Linked DNA regions of Lepisosteus oculatus. The protein of the gene in region 2 purifies or fractionates together with the protein of the main gene of each other region. This does not show direct contact. Links are inferred from orthologs where the notes say so. Each region holds a gene or a part of one and is shown on either strand. Other genes may lie near its edges.

Region 1 (10,468 bases), on a different chromosome or scaffold from region 2:
GATACTGTGTCCCGTGCAAAACTCTTTAACATACTAGACACAATCCAGAGTTACAATCTACGCGTATTATTTTATTAAAGATCAACATCAGCATTTTCTACTATAATACAGCCCTTACCCATGCAGTCCTGTTGGGTCGAGAAGAAACCCAGACTGTCATTTATGAATCTTTAATTCACACTCATCAAAATCTTCAAAAAAAACTCAACACCTCAAAGCCAACTACACACAGTGCTGAGGTAGCTAATCTATCACATCTACCACTCGGATCTGACTGCCTCATTTTAAGGTCTGGGGAGGAACACATGTTGACGTCTATCAAAGAAAAAGATTGAATCAGTATTACAATACAATACTGATCTATCAACATCCCTGTCATCTTAAAATAACTTGGATAAAATGTCAGGGAAAGTCTTACCACTTAATTTTCCTGCACAGAGAATGAGCATCGAGAGAAAAGGCTACTACACTACAACATGTCTCAGACTTTTGCACGATGCAATAAAAGCCATTTCCCCCCCCCACTCTCCCAGCAAGCCTCAGCACATTAAAGGCCCCCATAACAAAACGTTATTAAACACTAAAGACGCTGCAGTTTCACGGCAGAGTAGGACCTTCCTTTCGGAGTCTGTAACACACGGAGTCTGGCTTTGCTCCCTTCCAGAAAAACCACGGCCACTCCGGCAGGGAGTCGCGGGCTCCGCGGATACGAGACGCAGCGGCCTGTTGTGGCGCTGCTCCCGCGGCCGGAGACAGCGGCGCCGGCCGGCGGTCAGGAGTCCATACGATGTTCAGGCGCTGCAGGCTGCCGGAGACGAAGGCGCTGCCCCGGGCAAGGCAGTGGCCTGTACAGTTAGCTCCATTACCGGGTGGTATCACAGACCCTCAAACTGTACAAACAACTACCTCAGCCCGGGGCAGGCTGGGGTCAGCAGCACTCCTTCGAAGGAACCCCCGGGCTTCCTCCAGACCTGGACACAAGCCGTCCTCCCTGTAGTCTCTTCTTCTGGGGGGGTTGATGGAACTGAAGTAACCTTCAACTCCTGCGGCGAGTACTCCAGCGTGTGGATATACTGGACAAGCATTAAAACCCCATAATGCTGCAATAGTTTGGACACAAAATAGCACTGGCCTCCAGTAGAAAAGCTTTCAGAAAAGCTTGCTATGCTATGTCAAGGATGTCAGAGCTCTTGAAGGCTTTTCTCCTTCCAAGGCTTTAAGGCTTCACCTTGTAGTACAGAGCTCGCTTTGTTCCACTTATAAAACATAACAGATTGAACTTTTATTGCTGACAAGAAAAGGTATTAAACAGAGGCAGCAGCAGACTTCTGTAAGCCAGAGGAAACGGCAGGAAGGTGGATGAGCGAAGCCCATTATTTTTCTGACAGATGCTGTAGCCTCACTGTACAGGTATCTGGGGGGGGGGGGGGGGGGGCAGGCACTGGTTGGAACCCCAGATTTAAAAAACAGACCCCCAGAACAATAGTGCTTTTCGAACACCCAAGGATAACTTGAGACCCAGCAATTACTAGAAGGCCTACAGTATAAGTTCCACAGAAATGCAGTGGAGAATACTCACAGAACTGCACGTTCATCACTACAGTACATAATTAACCTCAGTTAAAATATCCCAGCCCAGAGGCTTCACTTGCATCGTTTACCTTCTCTAGCACTTTAACTCTATGACAGTTAGGATCTGGGGGAAAGGGTGCAGCCTAAGAAGATACACACAAGCTGACAACAGTTATTTTACATAAAATGTACTTTGTTGTCGCTCCACCGAACCACACAAAGTTATACTCCCTTGTCTTGCAACAGTGTTGCATTAAAAACGTAACCCTGAAGTGATACCCTTGAGCAATTTCACTGATAAACACAATGCTCCTTTCTTAACTTGGTTTGGAAGCTGTACACACAAACCTCCAAAATAAGAAAACAGAACTACCCTGAAACTGCCGGGTGTAGGCTGAGATCCCCGTCTGCAGGAACAAGCTAGGCTGCATTCTCCTCACGCGTAAACTGACAGCACAGTCGGATCATTTTTTTTCTCCTTTCAAAATCATTAAATATCCCCCTCTCCTCAGTGTTGTACAAGCTCCTTTTTCTGTTTGTGGTCAGTTTTGAATAACATGTACTCTGCAAAACATAAACAACGTTTCCCGGGATGTAATCTAAACCGACTTCCATCTTTCCACTGGAATCTTCTCACTGGACGAGCGATGACTGAACTAACTGCTGGACTCCCCCATGTTTGACAGCTAAGGAGTTTGGATGCGGGAGTTTCTACCCTAGTCCAGAATATCCCCAATTCAAGTCTCAATGGTCACCGTAAATTAGGGGACCCCCAACCCTGCAGACTTTCATTCCAGATGAGCCATCAGTTACATAACTAAACCCTTAAATATGATTAATTCGATCTCTTTTTTTCCAGTTCCTACTGCCCTTTATAAGAATCTGCAACTTTTCATCCCAAAATAAAAACTTGCAAAGGCTGCACACTGGTGGGGGTGGAGGGGATCCCCACTGCCTGTAAACCACTTTGAGTGCAGTGTCCAGAAAAGCACGATATAAGTATAAGCAGTTAGTAAACACACCCCATAACAGACTTAATTTTGAGCTTCGCTTCAAGTTCCAAAACACAAAGTTGCCTTTTAACTCTTGGGTTTTGCAAGAAAAACACAGCATCCCCAATCTTCAAGATTGGGGGGGGGGGTCCCCAGGCTCAGGGATAGGGGTGTCAGCCCGTTTTACTGAATTAGATAACTTAAGACAGAGGGTGTCAATACTTAAGCATGCAAGCTGTTCAAGGAGAAACGTACCGTCGATTTTGTTGGAGCTGTAGACCACGGTGTTCGCTGCGTGCGTGTATCTGATGAGGTCCACACCATACTTCTTACTGTACAGGGTCCTCTTGGGCCTGGAACACAGCCGGAGCGACAGCGAGCGCAATGAGATCGACCATCCCTGTTACCCACGCACGGACACGGACACGCTGCCACCGCAGGGCAGCCTGACCCACCCCACTGTGTCTGAGCCACCGCGACAGCGAAGGAGGGAAGTCTGCGCACTCGATACCGCCCTACACCCAAGTCGGCGTTAGCTACGAGGCTTTTAACGATGACCAGTGGGTGGACTTCAACTGGCGTTACCAGCCCACGCACACGCGAGAAGCAGGACAGAAAAGAAAAGGGGGTGCTTCTCATCCGACACTGCAGCCTGACACCACCACACGCGTGACTGCTGCCGCAGCAGCCGGGACACGGGGAGGCCGCGCTGCGCGACACACACACACACAAAAACCGGCGTCAGGGCTCTGCAGCCTTCGCGCACGTAGAGCTGCCAGGAGGGGACCCATTCCGTGAAACACCCCCCTTCGCATTTGCCCCTACGGAGCTCACAGAGCACGCTACATCAACCTGCGCGTAAAGCGTGCGTATCACTGCGCTGGGGGGAACGTACGCTCATGCAGACTGACATTCAAAGGCTCACACGCTCAATAAAAGAGACCCCCCCCTCAACTGTACACACTCCGCCACCCGCGGTACAGTCCCCCCCGTCCCGCCGGGCAGGGCGCTTCACTCGAGCCCGGGGATGAGGCGCCCGCAGTAGGCCTCACCTCGAGGAGCCCCCCCCACGCCCCGCCGGAGACAACAGAAGGGAACTCACTTTCCCTCCTGGCAGTCGTACAGCACGATGGAGTCGTCGTCGCTGCTGGAGATGACCGTCTCGCCGTTGGAGCTGAAGTCGAAGCAGTTGATCTTGTCCGAGTTCTCCCGGAACACCTTGGCGACGCGAAAGCTCCGCAGCACGTTATCCGTCAGCTTCATGACCTCCCGCGCTGGCGGCGGCCTCTCCGGCCTCTGCTTCTCGGGAACCGGCGCGGCGTCAAATCCCCCCCCCCTTCCTCTCCGAAACAGAAACTGCGGCTTTTTCGTCGGGTTTTCGCCCGCCCTCGCCCCCCGGGAAAACAACCCTGATTTTTTTTTTTCCCTCCTTTTCAAACGCAGAAGGAAAAAACCGCCGGGGACACGCTCGAGCACCAGGAGCGCGAGGAAGCCCCGCCTTCTGCCGCCGCCGCCAGGAGCGCGCACGCATGCACGCGCGCGCCCCCCCACCCGGGGGGAGCGCAAGCGGGCACGAGCCCCATTGTGTGCTCGGCGTTCGGCTGCCCCCCCCTCGCGACGTGAGGCTCAATCGGAAGCCCGAGGCCGAGCGCTGCTCGCCGGCCTGTGAGCGCAGAGGCGCTTTAAAAGGCAGAGCCCGCGTCTAAACCGAGGTTGTGTGCTGCAGCCTCCGGCCGGGTGAGCGCTGGGAAAGGGAGGCGTTCGCTGCCTTTCCAAGCGCAGTGAATTGCGAGATTCGCGTGTGTGTGTGTGTGTGGCCCTGTCCGGCCGCCGTAGCGCCCCCTTTCCCTGCCGGACTACAGGTACCACAATGCAACCGGGCGGACATTTCACGGGGGGCTGGATATGAGGAGTCGAGGGGATCGAGCGTGAATGAAATGGCATTGCTGCGCTGGTACGTGCACCTGCGTGCCGGACGCCTTTGTTCGGGGGACCGCGACAGTGCCGTTTAGTGCGAGGGGCAGGGATATCGGGGCCTGGCTGAGTTGCTTGGCAGGACAAGTGCCTCAATAGTTTAATGGCGATATTAAGAAAAACAAAAAAAACTCGGGAGGAAGAGAGCCCCACGCAGCAGGCGTGCGTGATAGGGCAGGAGGTTGAGAGGAGGAAAAAGAGTGTACCGGAGCAACTGAAAAACTATTAGAATCGCCAAGCCGGGGACAGAAAGAAATATTGCAATGGGGGCGAAACAGTATTGTGAACCACTTTTTCCACTTCTAGGACAGTAAAGGCTTGAGCGAGTGGCTTATGAGATAATAGGGGGTTTGTCACATGGTTCACACAGACTGTAGCTGAAGATGTCACATTATCGATCTCCCGCAGGACTGGCTCGCTTTAGCATGATTGATCCCGAGGCGTAGAGGAGCCGGGGCAGTAAAGAACAGTTCCCCGGGGTCCGATCCACGAAACGGACCGAGGGACAGCCCAGGCAGTCTGGCGCCTGACGCTGGGAGAGATACGGAGTTTATAGATGGAGACAGATTGGAGTATGACTGAGAGAACGAGGACACTTCAGGAGTCGAGCGTGGGATAAGAAAAATAAGGTCTCGTCTAACTTGCTGGAATTCTTCAAACAATAATAATAATAATAATTGCTTACACTTATATAGCGCTTTTCTGGACACTCCCCTCAAAGCGCTTTACAGGTAATGGGGACTCCCCTCCACCACCTTCAAGGAACAAGCTTCAAGGAGATTAGGTAAAACTAAACTTTAGTGACTAGAGCGTTTATATTTAATATTCGTGTTATGATATTCCTAACATGCACGTCTGCAGGAAGACTTAGACAGACTCCTGAATGGGGGCTGACCCTGTGGGGCAGTCGTCACAGCTCACCTGTGTGAGGACACCAGCAGGCAGCTGCAGTGTGGCTCAGCAGGGGTCCGGCAGACATCTAAAATTTGGATGACTCAAAACTTCCTTCATCTTAACTGTGACAAGACTGAAGTCATGCTTATTGGTACCCCCCATCAACTTCGTAAAGCCAGTCCTGTAACCCTGTCTGTAGATGGCTCTGTACTTGAGCTCCAATCAAAATTGAAAAACCTTGGGGTTATATTCGATTCTGGCTTAACATTCGACCCACATGTACAGCATACTGTCAAAACATCTTTTTTTCACCTTAGAAATATCGCAAGACTACGCCCTATGCTATCATTAACTGTGGCTGAAAAGCTGATCAACATATTTGTATTCTCTCGAATTGACTACTGCAATGCTCTGCTCCCTGGGGTATCCAAATCTACTCTGAACAAGCTGCAGTATGTCCAAAATTCAGCAGCCAGAATCCTGACCAGATCTAGTGCAAGTGTTCACATTACTCCTATCCTGGAGTCCTTGCACTGGCTTCCGGTCAAATTCCGCGTAGACTTTAAAATCCTCATGCTCACCTACAAGGCTTTACATGGCTTGGCACCTCAATACCTGTCTGAACTTTTATCGCCCTACTCCCCACCTCGCAACCTCCGCTCTTCAAATTCTGCCCTCCTTACTGTCCCCCAAGCCCGTCTACATTGTATGGGCGACAGGGCCTTCTCCTGCTATGCCCCCAAGCTCTGGAACTCCTTGCCCAAGGATATTAGAGAGTCACCTTCTCTAAACTCCTTCAAATCCAGACTCAAAACCCTCCTTTTCAGAAAAGCCTTTACTTAACTGCTTCCATTCTTCACCCCTCTGCTCTTCTTAATACCATCTTCCACGGTCTCCTCTATTGTTATTGTTGTATTGTTGTAATTATAATTGTGTCCTGTCTTGTGAAATTTTCTTATTTATTGTTGTAGTCTTCTTATTTATTGTTATTGTCATCCTGTAAAGCGCTTTGAGAAGCCACCTTTAAAGGCGCTATATAAAATAAAGTTTATTATTATTATTATTATCTAGTCTGCTCCTCACCTGTAGATCTTTTATGAGCCCGGGAAAACCAGGCCTTGGCTGTGGCTCACAGACTGCCTTCACCGACAGGAGAAAAGATCAGTCCCTTTCATCGCACCCCAAGTAAAATGTTTAGATTTCGGATCATTCTGGGGGGGGGGGGGGATGGGGAGAGAGTTGGGAGAGAACCGCCCCCCCCACGGCGCAGACAGACGGGGGGAGGGGCTGGGCTGTTGCTCAGTGGACTCTGAGCTGGGGGCAGATAGCGCGCTGTCCATTCCGATTAAAGAGTAATGGAGCTTCGGCTCCCAGCTATGGGGCGGCCTGGGGCGGGTTCGTGCTCCGGAGCCCGGACAGCAGGGTGGACGGGCTCACTTCCGTCCCCCGAGGGAGGTGCCGAACGCCCAGCTGTGTCACCGGGCCTGCAGCAGCAGCCACCTGCAGAAGACGGTTTGTTCTCACTGGACTGGCCCGGTCCAGCAAAGCATTACATCAGAGCTGGCCTGTCGATCATTAATCCCTCAGTCAATAAGAGCTGAGCCGCACAGAGCAGAGGGCAGATCACAGGAGACAGGCTGCTGGACTATATAGGACAGATCACAGGAGACGGGCTGCTAGACTGGACAGAGCAGATCACAGGAGACAGGCTGCTGGACAGAGCAGATCACAGGAGACGGGCTGCTGGACTGGACAGGACAGAGCAGATCACAGGAGACAGGCTGTTGGACTGGACAGAGCAGATCACAGGAGACAGGCTGCTGGACTATATAGGACAGAGAAGATCACAGGAGACAGGCTGCTGGACTATATAGGACAGAGAAGTTCACAGGAGACAGGCTGCTGGACAGAGCAGATCACAGGAGACTGGCTGCTGGACAGGACAGAGCTGGGCACTGTGGGCTGACGCTGTGCTGTGCGCTGGGGATCTCAGGTCTGTCTCCAGTTCCTTCACTTTCTCACTCGTGTGGCTGGCGTCCGTAGGGCCGCTGTGAGCGGGGATGATGGGAAGGATCTAGCTGGGAAAGACACCGTCGGGACCGGAGATCCCAGCGTGGGGGGTGGAGTGTAGGACAGGAAGGACTGTCCGAGGACACGCGTGTGCTCTGGGCTGTGTCAGTGGACAGGCCGAGTGTGTGGAGGGGCCGGGGGCTGGGGGCAGGTGACTCATTAAGCACCGTGCTTGAGCAAACCACGAGTACCTCCTGCTCCGGTGTGTAGACGTGCTTTGGGATCCTCTGGGACAGAAGGGGGGCGTAAACACAGTTAATAATAATAATAATTGCTTACACGTATATAGCGCTTTTCTGGACACTCCACTCAAAGCGCTTTACAGGTAATGGGGATCCCCTCCACCACCACCAATGTGCAGCATCCACCTGGATGATGCGACGGCAGCCATAGTGCGCCAGAACGCTCCCCACACACCAGCTACCAGTGGGGAGGAGAGCAGAGTAATGAAGTCAATTCATAGAGGGGGATTATTAGGAGGTCATGACTGGTAAAGACCAGGGGGAGATTTGTCGGGGTAACACCCCTACTCTTTTCGAGAAACGCCCTGGGGTTTTTAATGACCACAGAGAGTCAGGACCTCGGTTTTAGGTCTCATCCAAAGGACGGCGCCCGTTTACAGTGCAGTGTCCCCGTCACTATACTGGGGCATTAGGACCCACACAGACTGCAGGGTGAGCGCCCCCTACTGGCCCCACTGACACCTCTCCCAGCAGCAGCCTCAGCTTTCCCAGGAGTCTCCCATCCAGGTACTGACCAGGCCCACCCCTGCTGGGCTCCAGTGGGCGGCCAGCTGGGAGCTGCAGGGTGATATAGCTGCTGGCTATAACTGGTGAGAGTGACAGGTTAACTGTCCACTCCTGCACACGGCACGCAGGGCAGCCTCGCCCCTCACTTCCTGTTCCCCTCGCAGGGCGTGACGAGCCGGCTGCGGTCTGAGCAGCGCCCCATGGGCCCCGCCCTCGCCCTCGCCCCCGCCCTGTCGCTGTCGCTGTCCCTCGGCCCGGGCGCCCCGCGGGCCATGTCGCGGGCCATGTCGCGGGCGGCGCAGGCGCGGGAGATCTTCGGCGCGGCGGTGGGAGCCGTGCAGCCCGACGCCGTGGTGCGCCGCAGCCTGGAGCGGCAGGGAGAGCGCCTCCTGGTGGGGGGCCGGAGTTACACCCTGCGGGAGAACCTGCACCTGGTGGGCTTCGGCAAGGCCGTGCTGGGCATGGCGGCGGCCGCGGAGAGGATCGTGGGCGACCACCTGGTGCAGGGCGTGATCAGCGTACCGCTCGGGATACAGGAAGCACTGAGGCAGGATGGGAAAGGGTAAGGGTCGACGTGAGCTCTCCGGACGGCCCCTGCTTGTTTGCGTTGTTCTCCCTGCTGAGTTGATGCCGATCCTGATCCTCTCTCTTACACCTCGCCGGGAAGCTGTGCTCTTGGCGCAGTTTTGCGTCGGGCATTCTGGGTCCCGGCGGGGAAATGGGAGGTTCTACTCGTGGGGGTGTCCCGATCACCTCCGTGAGTCCCGGTGGGATCCGGTTCCGTTCTCCTGGCGTGGAGTCGGGCCTCTCGGTGCACAGTGACCCCCCCGTCCCGGAGCTGCTGGGGTGCAGCCGTGCTGGGTGGTGCTGGAGACGGCGCTGCGCCCCCAGTCGGTGGGCCCGGGGACGAGCTGCGGGGCGGCGTTGCGGAAGGGGGATCCCGCCATCCGTCAAGGGGCTGGTCACGGGGGGGTCACCCGCCTGAACTGAAGCTGGGGGGGAAGGGGGTTGGGTTGGGAAATGGGGGTGTCCTTTAAAAAGAGAAAGCGGGCGCTGGGGGAGCCCCTGATGGCAGAAGGCTCTGGGTGGGGGGTGCTGGTGTTGTAAACCCTGGGGACCCCCTTGTCACGGGGGTCTCTGATGAAACACTTGGGTTCCAGGGTCATTCCCGGCGCTTCTCTCCGCACAGGGAGATGCTGCTGGGAGCAGGGAGCCGTATCCGGGCGCTGGAGGGAGCGCGCCACAACCTCCCGGACGCGGCGGCGCAGGAGGCGGCGCGGGCGATCAGGGCGCTGGCCGGCGGGCTGACGGACCGCGACCTGCTGCTGGTGCTGATCTCCGGTACCGGCCCCCGCGGCGGGCGCAGACGGGTCGGGGGGAGGGCGCTAAGGCTTTGACCGGACCGGCCGATTGATGTCCGTTTTGTTTGGGTTTGTGTAAAGCCACGGGCCATGGGCCAGAGGTCACAGGTCACAGGTCACAGGTCACAGGTCACAGGTCACGGGTGCAGTCGGGAAGAGCTCAGGCAGAATAAGAACCAGAAGGGTCACATGACCACGGTTAACGTCATGGTGCTCACGAGAGGGCGCTCCGCCGCGCTGGCGTCCGGGCCACGTTTGCTGACTCTCTGCCCGCTGTCTGCCCGCAGGGGGCGGCTCAGCGCTCCTGCCCTCCCCCGTCCCCCCGGTCACGCTGGAGGAGAAGCAGGGCCTGACGCGGATGCTGGCGGCGCGTGGGGCGACGATCCAGGAGCTGAACACGGTGCGCAAGGCGCTGTCCCTGCTGAAGGGAGGAGGCCTGGCCCGCTGTGCACACCCGGCGCAGGTACCGTCATGAGAGTGTGTGTGTGTGTGTGTGTGTGTGTGTGTGTGTGTGTGTGTGTGTGTTTTTTAGGGATTGGCGTTTCTTTGTCCCGTGCGAGTCTATGTACAGCAGTGCCATCTGGCCTGTTCGGTCCCTAGCAGCTGGTTGACCCCAGGATCATTTCTTGAAAGAAGCCAGGGGATCGGCTTTCGCACCATGGCTGGGGCAGCCTGTTCCACGCTCCCACCCCCCTTCGCGTAAAGAAAGGCCTGCTGTTCCTGGTTATGAAAGCACTTCCCCGTAGCTCCCACTTGTGTCGCCCGGCTCGCGTTACTGGCCCCAGGGTTTTATGGGTGATCCTCTCCCTTCTTCACCCGGGGGGGCGTCAGGGGACAGTTTAAGCGAGGGCAGGGG
Region 2 (10,704 bases):
GAGATGGGGAGACCCGACGACCTGATTCTAGGACTTGAAATCCTTCAGGTCAAAGACAAAATCGAACTCACAAAGCAGCGAGACATGAACCATGGGCCAGAAATAAAGAAAGAAGTGAATATGAAAACGAGAACGGATGTCACTTCTTTATGCAAAGGGTTGTCGGAGTACAGAGCAGGTTATCTACCTGTGTTACTAAAGCCAAAACCCTGACATCTTTCAAGAAGAATTAACTCAGACTAATTAAGTGCTACCTAACAAATGGGCAATGTGCTCAATGACCTCCTCTCATTTGTTACCATTCTTCTGTTGTGAAACAATCATATTGGCGGTAAATATTATTAGTTATCTATTGGATCTAGAACATAATTAGATTTATGTACTACAAATCATAACACGCCCCAGGTCCTTCACTGGCTGTGCCAGGGAACACTAAGCTTAGCAACCAGATTTAAACCAGTGGATCCTTCTAACAAAGCAATCAGCAAATAACAGGGAGAGAATACCGACAGCTCCACAATTAGTTTCTAGAGCTCTGGCACAAGCTTTGGCTGTGCTGAGACGCAGGAACCTTTATCAATGAACACAGGGAATCTATTTTTCTTGCACCACTGGCGGTTCACAAGACATCTCATCACGCATGCTGACAGATGAAACAAAGAGACCACTGACTGCCCCAAGTCCTGGCCCCCTTTCCCCTCTGCGCAGCGTTCACTCTGTGCACACAGGCAAGCTCAGGAAAGTGCCAATGAATTCTGCTTCTGCCATGCCAAAGACTCTCTTTAAAAGCACTGTAAGCCCTGCTAAACAAAACCGAGGCATGATCTTCGCAGTTCAATGCTGACGAGTTGTACTTCTCTTGCTTTATGACCAGCACATATGCAAAACAAGGACTGTCTTTCTATACCAACTCTGACTTGTGCACAGCAGTGAATGTTACATGCTGTATATAGCCAAGCCAGATTGTAAATGTGTATGTGCACATTTACATTTACAGGAGGCATTAGTCCTAATACTATGAAACTACCTAATCACTCATTGATAACTAATTCTATATGAAAAGAATGTTTGACAATAACACCTCTTGTCAGCACAGCTCAGAGTTATTCAGGCTAGCAAGCAGTAATCAGGTCGGTCTACGGAGTTAACTAAGTTAAAGGACAAAAGCAGCATTCTTCATTTTTCAAGCTTAATGAAAAACAACACAGTTGTGGGTAAAAGCATTGAAACATTGTATCAGAAACCTAGCAATTAACTACCAGTTACCAGTGGCTAAAATAATCTAAAATTCAGTACACCTAGGTTAAACAAATGGTTGCATTTTTTGCTGAATAACGTGATAACACTAATCCAGATACTAAGAATTATGCCTGAAAATGTATACAGATACGCCCTTATCTATAACCATGTTTCAGGGACTACAACATTTCTTGTGCTGTTTGTAATCTTTTGTTTTGATTCAGAATGTGAATGAAAATTTCCGTATTTGTAGTTTAGGCTATAACTAGGCTACGAGGTATAGAACTTGTGTGTATTTTTAAATAAAGATTTTATACCAGACGTTCTCAGCACATTTACTCAGGCAGACATGGAAAAGCAAGTGCTTTGGACACTTAACAGGTGCTGGCTGAAGTAAACTACACAGTCCAGGGTGTTCAGAGCCTAAAAAGGCCTTGAAGCCTTTCATCTGCAATGTCACCTGCAAGAAATTATTCTTCTGAAGTAAGAGGCCTCCTCCTGAAGTCGAAAGCTAACGTCCCAATTTTGTTGTTTGATTTAGAACTAAAGAATTGTGGTATAAAGCACTTTCCAACTCCAGTACTCGGGACCCATAATCCAGCAGGATTTCCGTCTCCTTAAATTAGAAAGTTCTTCACCTGGGAGAAATGTTAAGAGTAATCCAATCATGGTTTAACTGAACCGATGTTCATCTCTTCTACACTACGCTCACATTTGGCGATTTCAAGAGCCACAGAAAACGTGCTGCATTCTGGACCCCAGAATCTACAAGGGCTGGGAGTTGGGGAACCCCAAGTGGAGGGAAAACCATCAAGATTTAAACAGCACTCTCTACAAAATACGCAAAGGCAGAAGTACAGGTAACCAAAAAACTCCAGTTGTTGGAAAAATGTCTTTCAAAGGGACAGCAAATAGATGCTGTCAACTGGTAAAGACAGGAATGTGAATGCAAGTAGGATTCGGATCAAAGACGATCAGAATCCAAGAACACATTTGAACTGTGGTGTCCACCCTGCTGAAAGTCTGGTCTCTTCTGGTACAAAACCTTTGTGTAAAAATTTGACTAAAAAGCGATTGACCACCTGGTGTTTTCCTACAGACCGCAGAGAATCTACAAGATTCAAACACGTCACTTTACAAATTAAATGCTGCATAAATATTACAAACACTACAAAATATTCCGATTAATGCACCGCCGTATGAATGTCGTAAACACTATCCTAAAAAGCAAAGAGAAAATGCTTTGGCTCTGACAAGAACTGTAAAATAAGGTTTCAAGAACTCACTACATCACATCAGTCCACATGCAATCCCTCCCAAAAGACACCCAACAGGAAAAATACACTCCGAACGTTACGGATTTACGTACAGCGTTGTCGTCTTTTAAAATAGTAGGCCTCTCTTTCTTTGTAGACAGGGAAATACTTACTGTTACCATGGCTATCTTCACAATTCCAAATCACTGGTACTGCTTTCTATATCCTTTGTGTTGGTGCATTAGTAATCCATTTTTATTATTGTCTATGGGAGTCATGGACAAGGGAGTAAAAAAACTCAATATTGAAATCTAGGGGAAAGCAGCTGTACCCAGAATTACTATGGCAAGGAAGGGGTTAAAATGGGGAACTTGTGTTTTTTTTTTCTTTAGACTTTCTTTTGGTTATGCTTTTGAAACTTTGACCACTGTATTTGGTCTGTAATAAGGGATGCTGTAAAATAAATGAGTTGAAAACATTTTTTTGATTTGAAACGTCGTTTTTCAGAAGGTAAAAACAGCTAAAAATAAAAAAAAATCACATCATAAGCATTTTCAAAATGTACTGGTATCACACTAACAGGGAATAAAGTTAATCTATCGAATGTGTATAACCTGGGGGAAGGGAGAAGGTCGTAACAGTAAAGTGTTAACTTTTTTGGAGAAAAGGGATTTTACATAACGTCTTGCTTAAACGTGTGGTCAATAAACCTAAAAAAAAACACTATATCATGCTTTAGAAACAACACATACATAACATGCATTCAAGTACGGGGTATCTTAAAATAAATATAAACAATTATCTTATGTAATTAATTTAACGACTACATTACCTAACGAAATGGGATACTCTGTAACCGTACAAGCCTAAAACGTTAAGGGTGATTAAAATCTATTTCCGCTTAATTCAAATAGAGCAACATAATATTTTAAAGGATAAAAACAACATTTTTTCGGAATCAAAGCTTCGGTTAAACAGGACAAATATTTTGAAAAATAAATTTGGTTTGAAAAACATTTAAACGTAAATAGAAAAGCTGAAAAGCGTCGAAAGACTGTATTTGTTAAATGCGTAGCTGGGTACTTTGGCGTGCGTCACCAGCTGAAACTAATTGGTATCAATTTAAAATTCCTTTTACGGAAAAGACCAATTAAAACAATTTAACACGACACTGATACGTTCATAAAATATAGAAAAATGTATATATAATTTAAAACAGAATTCAACATTTTACATTCATTAACAATTAACTAGTTTTCCGATTGCGCTTCGGCAACCCTGGGAAAAATAAGTGCTAATCCATTCCCACATAGAATAAAGGAGTATAAAAAGTTATTACTGAATTTAAGATTTTACAAAATATTTGTCCTTGTTTCATCATATTATTTGGTTCGCTTTTTTCTTTGACGGCTTTTTTAAAGTTAATGTAATTACTTAAAATGTCCAGCAGGACGATTTGTCCTCTGCTATTTGATTTCAAAAACTAGATTTCGAAATAAAAGTAATTTTCAGAAAGAGCTTTAAAATACTGTAGCTTCGTATCCCACATCTTTTAATGTTTGACCTTCCTTTCGTTTGCTTTCTGCAATGTTTCAAGATGGCGTTACCTCTGTTACTTGTTCCCCAGAAAAAAAGGCGACTTTAATTCCTTTGAAAAGAAAAAAACAAAGAAAAAGATACCCGAGCTTTTTTATGCCCTAAAAAAGCCCAGGATGAATAAACTGTTGTATAGAAATATGATTGTAGAATTACTCGACCTTTCGTCAGTGAGAAGGCTGTTGATGTGTTCGTGGTTGGAGGTTGTTGGGGAGTTTGGATGGACAGTCATGCTTTCCACAGCCATTTCCTCTTAACATTTAAAGTGCAAAAAAAAATTACAAATCGACAACTATAATCTACTGGATTATGCGTCACTGACTTGGAGCTATTTGGTTACTGATTTTTTGGAAAAGTTTCAGTTCAGCATAGTCAATTCCCCATTTACAGTTATAAAGAGAGAGGTTGACTTTTTTCCTGAGGTTGTCCTTCCTCCTATAGTTGCGCTCTGTAAAATGAAACTCATCCACTTAAAATGGCGGCGACTCAGTTAGTCAGGGAAGGGGGCGGTGATGAAGAGGGAGGAGCCCGGCCGAGTTTTGCCGATGATGACGACACAATGCTCTCGAAGCTTCCCGGAGACGCGCGAAGATACTTCGTGAGGGTGAAGTGGGCGTGTTTATGGGAGGTTGAGGATTTTCGGAAAGTTACGGAAATGGCCGCAAATCACAAAATGTTTTATTCATCCCCAAATTTACAGTCTGGAATTGGACTGTATTGTCTTTATAATAATATGTAACAGAAAAAAAAATCCATGGAAAATCCCATATAAGTATGAATGTCTTTTCCATTATAATAACTGTTTTCTATGGTATCCTTCTTTGAAATAAATGTGTATTCGGCAGGGAAAGCCCCGAATATGAATCTAAAATACGTAAAAAAAAATGAGCTTGCAACATTTTCGGAAAATTCTTTCGAATTTTCTTTGTTTCTGTATTCGTGGCGGACCCACAAAGATGTGACGTCTTGTTGTCGCGACAGTGTCGCGTCTCTGATGACGCAATCCGTAAGCGCCTCTCCAAACCGTGCGTAGCGGGACATTGGTGACCGCGGTTTATTGAAATTTGTTGTTGGTGGATAATAGTAAATATAAAATACTCGCTAGAAGTAATTTTCTATAAAGTATCGATTACTCTGGTTTGAAGTGTCACGAATTCAAAAATGGTTGAAAAGGAGGAAACACTAATAAGCGAGGAGGAGGCGGCTCAGTATGACCGTCAGATTCGGTTGTGGGGTCTGGATGCTCAGAAAAGGTAATATAGCTGGTTCCGTAGCCCCCTATGTTTTGAGGATCGAACCGGATTTTTCGATAACAAGTTTTTCTTTCTTATCTTTTCTCACGTCTTGCTGTTTACAAGTATGGTGGCCAGCGACCATGTCTTTCATTGTGCACTATAATGTACATTATTAATATACCCTGTGCAGTGTTGTTCCGAAAAGATGAAGATTCGGTTGTTGTAAAGTGAGGGGTTGGTTGTTCATGGGGTAGAGCCAGCAGACAAACTGAAGGTGTTCGGGCTGTTGGGGATAGTGTGCTGTGTACAGCGACGCGACGTGAAAACCGAGGCAGCGGTGAAATCTCATCGCCAGGGGAATGTACAGTATATTCTCGCCTCTCTTGGCGATAATAAGCAGGTGCAGGTCACTCATCACAAACCGGGTAAACTTTCGTGTATTTGTCTAGATTAGCGTGTTGAGTGCACTTGGTAAAATAGACGCTAACATTCTAAATAAAACATATTTTGCAGATTGTCAGATTGATAAACCGGGGCTACTAGTCCGTAGTCTTTTCAATGAAGTGGACTGGTTCTCCTTAAGTGCGCATTTTCCCATGAACCAATGTGATCTGCGCCTGTGTGTTCAAGTAGAGTTGTGCGTTTTGCACTGGTTGCTGTTATCTCGCAACTCTATCATCATCTCCTGCGTCTACGGTTTCTTTTTTTTTTTGATCAGCCATGTTTGTATATTCCTTTTCCCTGAAAGACCCTGGCGTTTAATACTTTTCAAAAGGGTTCTGGGATCGAATCTGTCCTGCTGCATCTGTGTATGTGGAGTTTGCATGATCTTCCTGCATTCCCCTTTGAGGAATTTCATAGTTTCCCCCCCTCTTCTGGTAAATATGCTGTCTAGGATGGTCTAAATTGTCTCTTTCACCCTGTAATGTGAAATGGTATCCCTTCCGGATCCCATCCCATCCCATCCCATCCAACTGGTATCCCATCCAGAGAGAAGCTCAACCCTGTGCTCCATGCCTACCCTGTGAGCCGTGCTTTCAGATAGCTCCCAGCCTGCTGTGCCCCACAGTGGGACAAGTGTTTTTTTGGTACGGGGTGGGTAAAATCGATGACCGCTTCAAACAGTGAGGCAACTGCTAGTTTAGGGGGGTTATCCAATTATTAATTCTCCCCTTTAAACAGAAAAGAGCAGACAGGGACTTTGAAATCGCCTTGGTTGCGTAGCTGCCTTCCCTACCTCTTACTTCAGTCCTTTCCTTTCAGTATGAACAGTGGACGAGGAGGAAAGCTCTGTAAAGGGGATGGAACATTTGCCATGTGTAACAAATGAGTTCTAATAATTCATCTGTGGTCTTATTTGCCTTGTGTTGTTTTAGTCGTCATGCAGGACTCTAGATTAAATTTCAAAGAGTCGCTTCCCACACCCAAAAAATATTGCGCAGTCATCACTCGCGTTCAGAGAAACAAGAGTATCAGCCTCCCGGGTGTGTGAGAGAAGTCTGTTAGTAGGCGCTTGTTCCCCATCTGTGACTGCAGCTGAAAACAGTGTACAGGTTGAAAAGTAATATCAATGCAGGAAACCTCATCTTGTGAAGATTATGTCTTCAGCAGGGGTCTCTAAAGTAAAGTGATGTCTTGCACATTGCCATGTGTTCGAACGGAGGAATATTTGAAATTTCCTTTAGACTAGTATGTGCATCCGCTCTGACGCCACCGGTGGATGAAATTCATTAAAAAGGAAATTGTGTTTTGAAGAAGGAACTGAGCATTTAACTGGATTGAAGTGAGAGTGGGGAAGTCCAGGTCCGCTGCGCTCAGGAGCTGAATGTTTCGCTCTGTCTTGTGCCCTGTCCTCTCCCAGGCTGCGTGCCTCCCGCGTGCTGCTGGTGGGGATGAGGGGGCTGGGGGCAGAGGTGGCCAAGAATCTGATCCTGGCAGGAGTGAAGGGGCTGACGATGCTGGACCACGAGCAGGTAAGCCATTAGTGCCGGGGGTGAGACTTGATTCTCGGCTGTAGTAGTGTCTTTTTTTGCAGTGCCAACCAGTACGTGTGCAGTTTTCTTCGCCAAAGGAGAGCAATGGACATTTGACCTCATAGGATTTTCAGAGCGAGGAAGAACACTAAAGCAAAGTCCACACACAAGGAGCTCCAGTCTGGCTTCAAACCCGGGTCTCTATGCACTTAGATAACTACATGATTCTCATAAAAAGAATGAAAGGACATGTTTTGGATTTGGTGGTGGGACAGAGGGTTTGTGTTGCTCTGAGCTTTTGGGTCCTGGGTTTGATTCTACACTGGGGTGCTTTGTAGACCCTGAAAAGCCAAATACCTCACCTAGAGCTTGTGGGTTTTTTCTCCAGGTGCTCAGGTACTCTCCCAGCCACAGCCCAAAGACCTGCTGTTCTCGTAGAGAGACAGCTATCTTTAAATTGCCCCCCCCCCCGCCCCCCAAGCATATGGGAATGAATGAATGTGTGGCCAGCAATGAGCCGGTGTCCTTTTCGTGCTCCGGCTCCACCTTGTGCAGTTCTTGTTGGTTCTCTGGTTGGCTTTTGATTTGTTTCTCATATCTCCTTCCCTGCTGTGCGGTGAACGTGTCCGGTTGCTCTTCTTTTGAAGTGCATCCAAAGCTGCGTTATCTTTCACGTCACGTCATGAACAAAAGTGTCCCAGAGCCTGCATGAAGGCTTACTCTAGAGCATTGTTAATCATGTTAGCATAGACACTTGTCTTGAGGATAAGTTGCTTCTTCAAGCTCATTGTTTCGCATGTTATATTTCTAGGCTGCTACCTGCATATACAGTTGTATCCAAACGTTTGGGCACCCCTGATCAAATTGCATATTTCAGGGAATATCTAAGTGAAAATAAGTTTACACAACCTCTGCAGGGTACAAACTTAAACGTGATGTATTTCTGCACATTGTAATGCACAATTATTACTTATTTGCTGAATTTAACAAACTTTGCATACAACTGAAGTAATTCAAGTAGGGAGCTGCGTCAGCATGTGTGGGCTGCAAAGGAACAAGTTAAAGGTTTATTCCAGGCTGAAAAGAGAAGAAAGGAAACACAATGTTTCGGCTGTGGAGCCTTCTTCAGGTGTGGAGAACTCAGCCTGTGTCCACACCTGAAGAAGGCTCCACAGCCGAAACGTTTTTTCCTTTCTTCTCTTTTCAGCCTGGAAATTAGCCTCTACATGTTCTTTTGCATACAACTGTAACACTCCACACTTATCTACATTAAATGTCATCTTCCAGGTGTTTGCCCAGTCCTGTATTTTGAGTAAATCTTTAAAAACCTCCTGTGCTGTTTTTACAGTGTTTAACCCAACTTTGGCAGCTTTTGTGATTGGGGAGGGGGGGGTGGACTTATGGTATATGACTATGTGAGTAAACGGAGAAAAACACATAGGTCCTGCAATAGAAAAACTAGACTAAGCAAGAAGATGTAACGAAAATAATTACAAAATTTTGAGAACCGCTTTTCTGTTTGTTAATGGCGTATTGATTGGAGGATCTCAGCCAGTCCTTTCCCGAAAGCTCCCAAACAGTGTATTTCTGCAGCAAGACTTGTTCCAGGCACTCGCCTCTCTTTGTGTAAAGAAATTAGGCTTAAAAAACAAAGACTTTTCATTTGTCCAGGAAGAGGGTTTAAGAGGTCCTGCATTGCCTACTTTTCTTACCCCTGCCCCTCTCTTGTTTCTGTCTCAGGTGACCGAGGAGTCCAGCCGAGCGCAGTTTCTCATCCCAGTGGGTTCTGAGGGTCAGAACCGGGCCCAGACCTCACTGGAGCGTGCTCAGTACCTGAACCCCATGGTGGAAGTAAAGGCAGACCCCGAGAGAGCCGAGTCCAAGCCTGAGGATTTCTTCCTGCAGTTTGATGCGGTGAGTGCTTTGGAGAGCGGAGACAGGGCGGGTTTCCTGTTGCTGTGCTCTACTGCTCATCCTTCACCATCCAGTGCGCAAAGTTCCTTCTGCTTTCTTGTTTCTAGTAGGGGTGTGTGTTCAGAAAGTGGAAAGAAACAGCATTGTCTAACGTCGTCTTTAGTTTAGCTTTAGTGCCCAGGGTAAGGGCTGTGGGGCAATCAGGAGGAATAGGGGGAAGCAGAGATTTTGCTACATCTACATAATAATAATAATTCCTCACACTTATATAGCGCTTTTCTGGACACTCCACTCAAAGCGCTTTACAGGTAATGGGGATCCCCTCCACCCCCACCAGTGTGCAACCCCACCTGGATTATGCGACGGCAGCCATAGTGCGCCAGAACGCTCCCCACACACCAGCTATTAGTGGGAGGAGAGCAGAGTAATGAAGCCAATTCATAGAGGGGGATTATTAGGAGGCCATGATTGGTAAGGGCCAATGGGAAATTTGGCCAGGACACCAGGGTTACACCCCTACTCTTTTCGAGAAACGCCCTGGGATTTTTAATGACCACAGAGAGTCAGGACCTCTGTTTTACGTCTCATCCGAAGGACGGCGCCTGTTTACAGTACAGTGTCCCTGTCACTATACTGGGGCATCAGGGCCCACATGGACCGCAGGGTGAGCGCCCCCTGCTGGCCCCACTAACACCTCTTCCAGCAGCAACCTTAGTTTTTCCCAGGAGCTCTCCCATCCAGGTACTGACCAGATTCACACCTGCTGAGCTTCAGTGGGCTGCTAGTTGTGAAATGGCTGCTGAAAGTATTATTCACCGCAGAGCAGTGGCTCTGTGGCTAAGGAACCCCACCTGTGTCTGGAAGGTTGCCAGTTCAAATCCTACTCCGCTGGGTCCCTGAGCAAGGCCCTTAACGCTAACTGCTCCAGGGGCGCTTACAATGGCTGACCCTTTGCTCTGACCCCCAGCTTCCCTCACTGTCTGTGTGTCTCGTGGAGAGCAAGCTGGGATCTGTGAAAAGACAAATTCCTAATGCAAGAAATTGTATATGACTTTTAAAATGATTTAAAAATAATAATAAGGCAGATGTTATGGAGCAGAATACCTGTTGATGGTTACAGACTGTTGACAGACACGTATAGTGGAGAAAACGGCACAGATTGGCCAAATAAACTTTGTACTACTTCATGCTTTTCACTGCGCAATGAGAGATGGTTTGAAGAAGAGAGGCAGAAAGCAGCAGCTTCACTGGTGAAAGAAGTGAAGTTGTTTCCGGGAGCCCTTTGTTTCTGCTTTGGAAGTTGTTTATATATACCCGTATATAATAACAGTGTTATTTGCTTTATGTGCAAAATGTAAAATATTTCACTGTTAAATCAATAAATTACGAAACAGAAAATCTTTTAGTTTAAGTGCAACCATTCTGAATGTTTCCCTTTTCTTGAAAGCCAAATAGCAATTTCTTGCAGTTCCCAAAAAACCCACTAGGTGA

Evidence for each region.
Region 1: the proteins of zc3h4 (region 2) and wdr82 purify together in Homo sapiens (affinity purification with western blotting; 4 studies listed by BioGRID and IntAct, with this or other methods). This does not show direct contact. The link is inferred for Lepisosteus oculatus from reciprocal best matches to the Homo sapiens genes ZC3H4 and WDR82.

Annotation. Positions count from the first base shown.
Region 1 is NC_090699.1:65,858,601-65,869,068, reverse strand, and holds the start of wdr82 (WD repeat-containing protein 82), read right to left. Parts: upstream 4,100-10,468; 5' UTR 3,828-4,099; coding exon 3,667-3,827; intron 2,918-3,666; coding exon 2,820-2,917; intron 1-2,819. Other genes in the region: glyctk (glycerate kinase), read left to right, coding at 8,452-8,813, 9,441-9,592, 9,900-10,075. UniProt on the Homo sapiens protein: Regulatory component of the SET1/COMPASS complex implicated in the tethering of this complex to transcriptional start sites of active genes.
Region 2 is NC_090698.1:5,317,085-5,327,788, forward strand, and holds the start of zc3h4 (zinc finger CCCH domain-containing protein 4), read right to left. Parts: upstream 4,562-10,704; 5' UTR 4,339-4,561; coding exon 4,253-4,338; intron 1-4,252. Other genes in the region: sae1 (SUMO-activating enzyme subunit 1), read left to right, coding at 5,253-5,344, 7,188-7,299, 9,040-9,213. UniProt on the Homo sapiens protein: RNA-binding protein that suppresses transcription of long non-coding RNAs (lncRNAs). LncRNAs are defined as transcripts more than 200 nucleotides that are not translated into protein.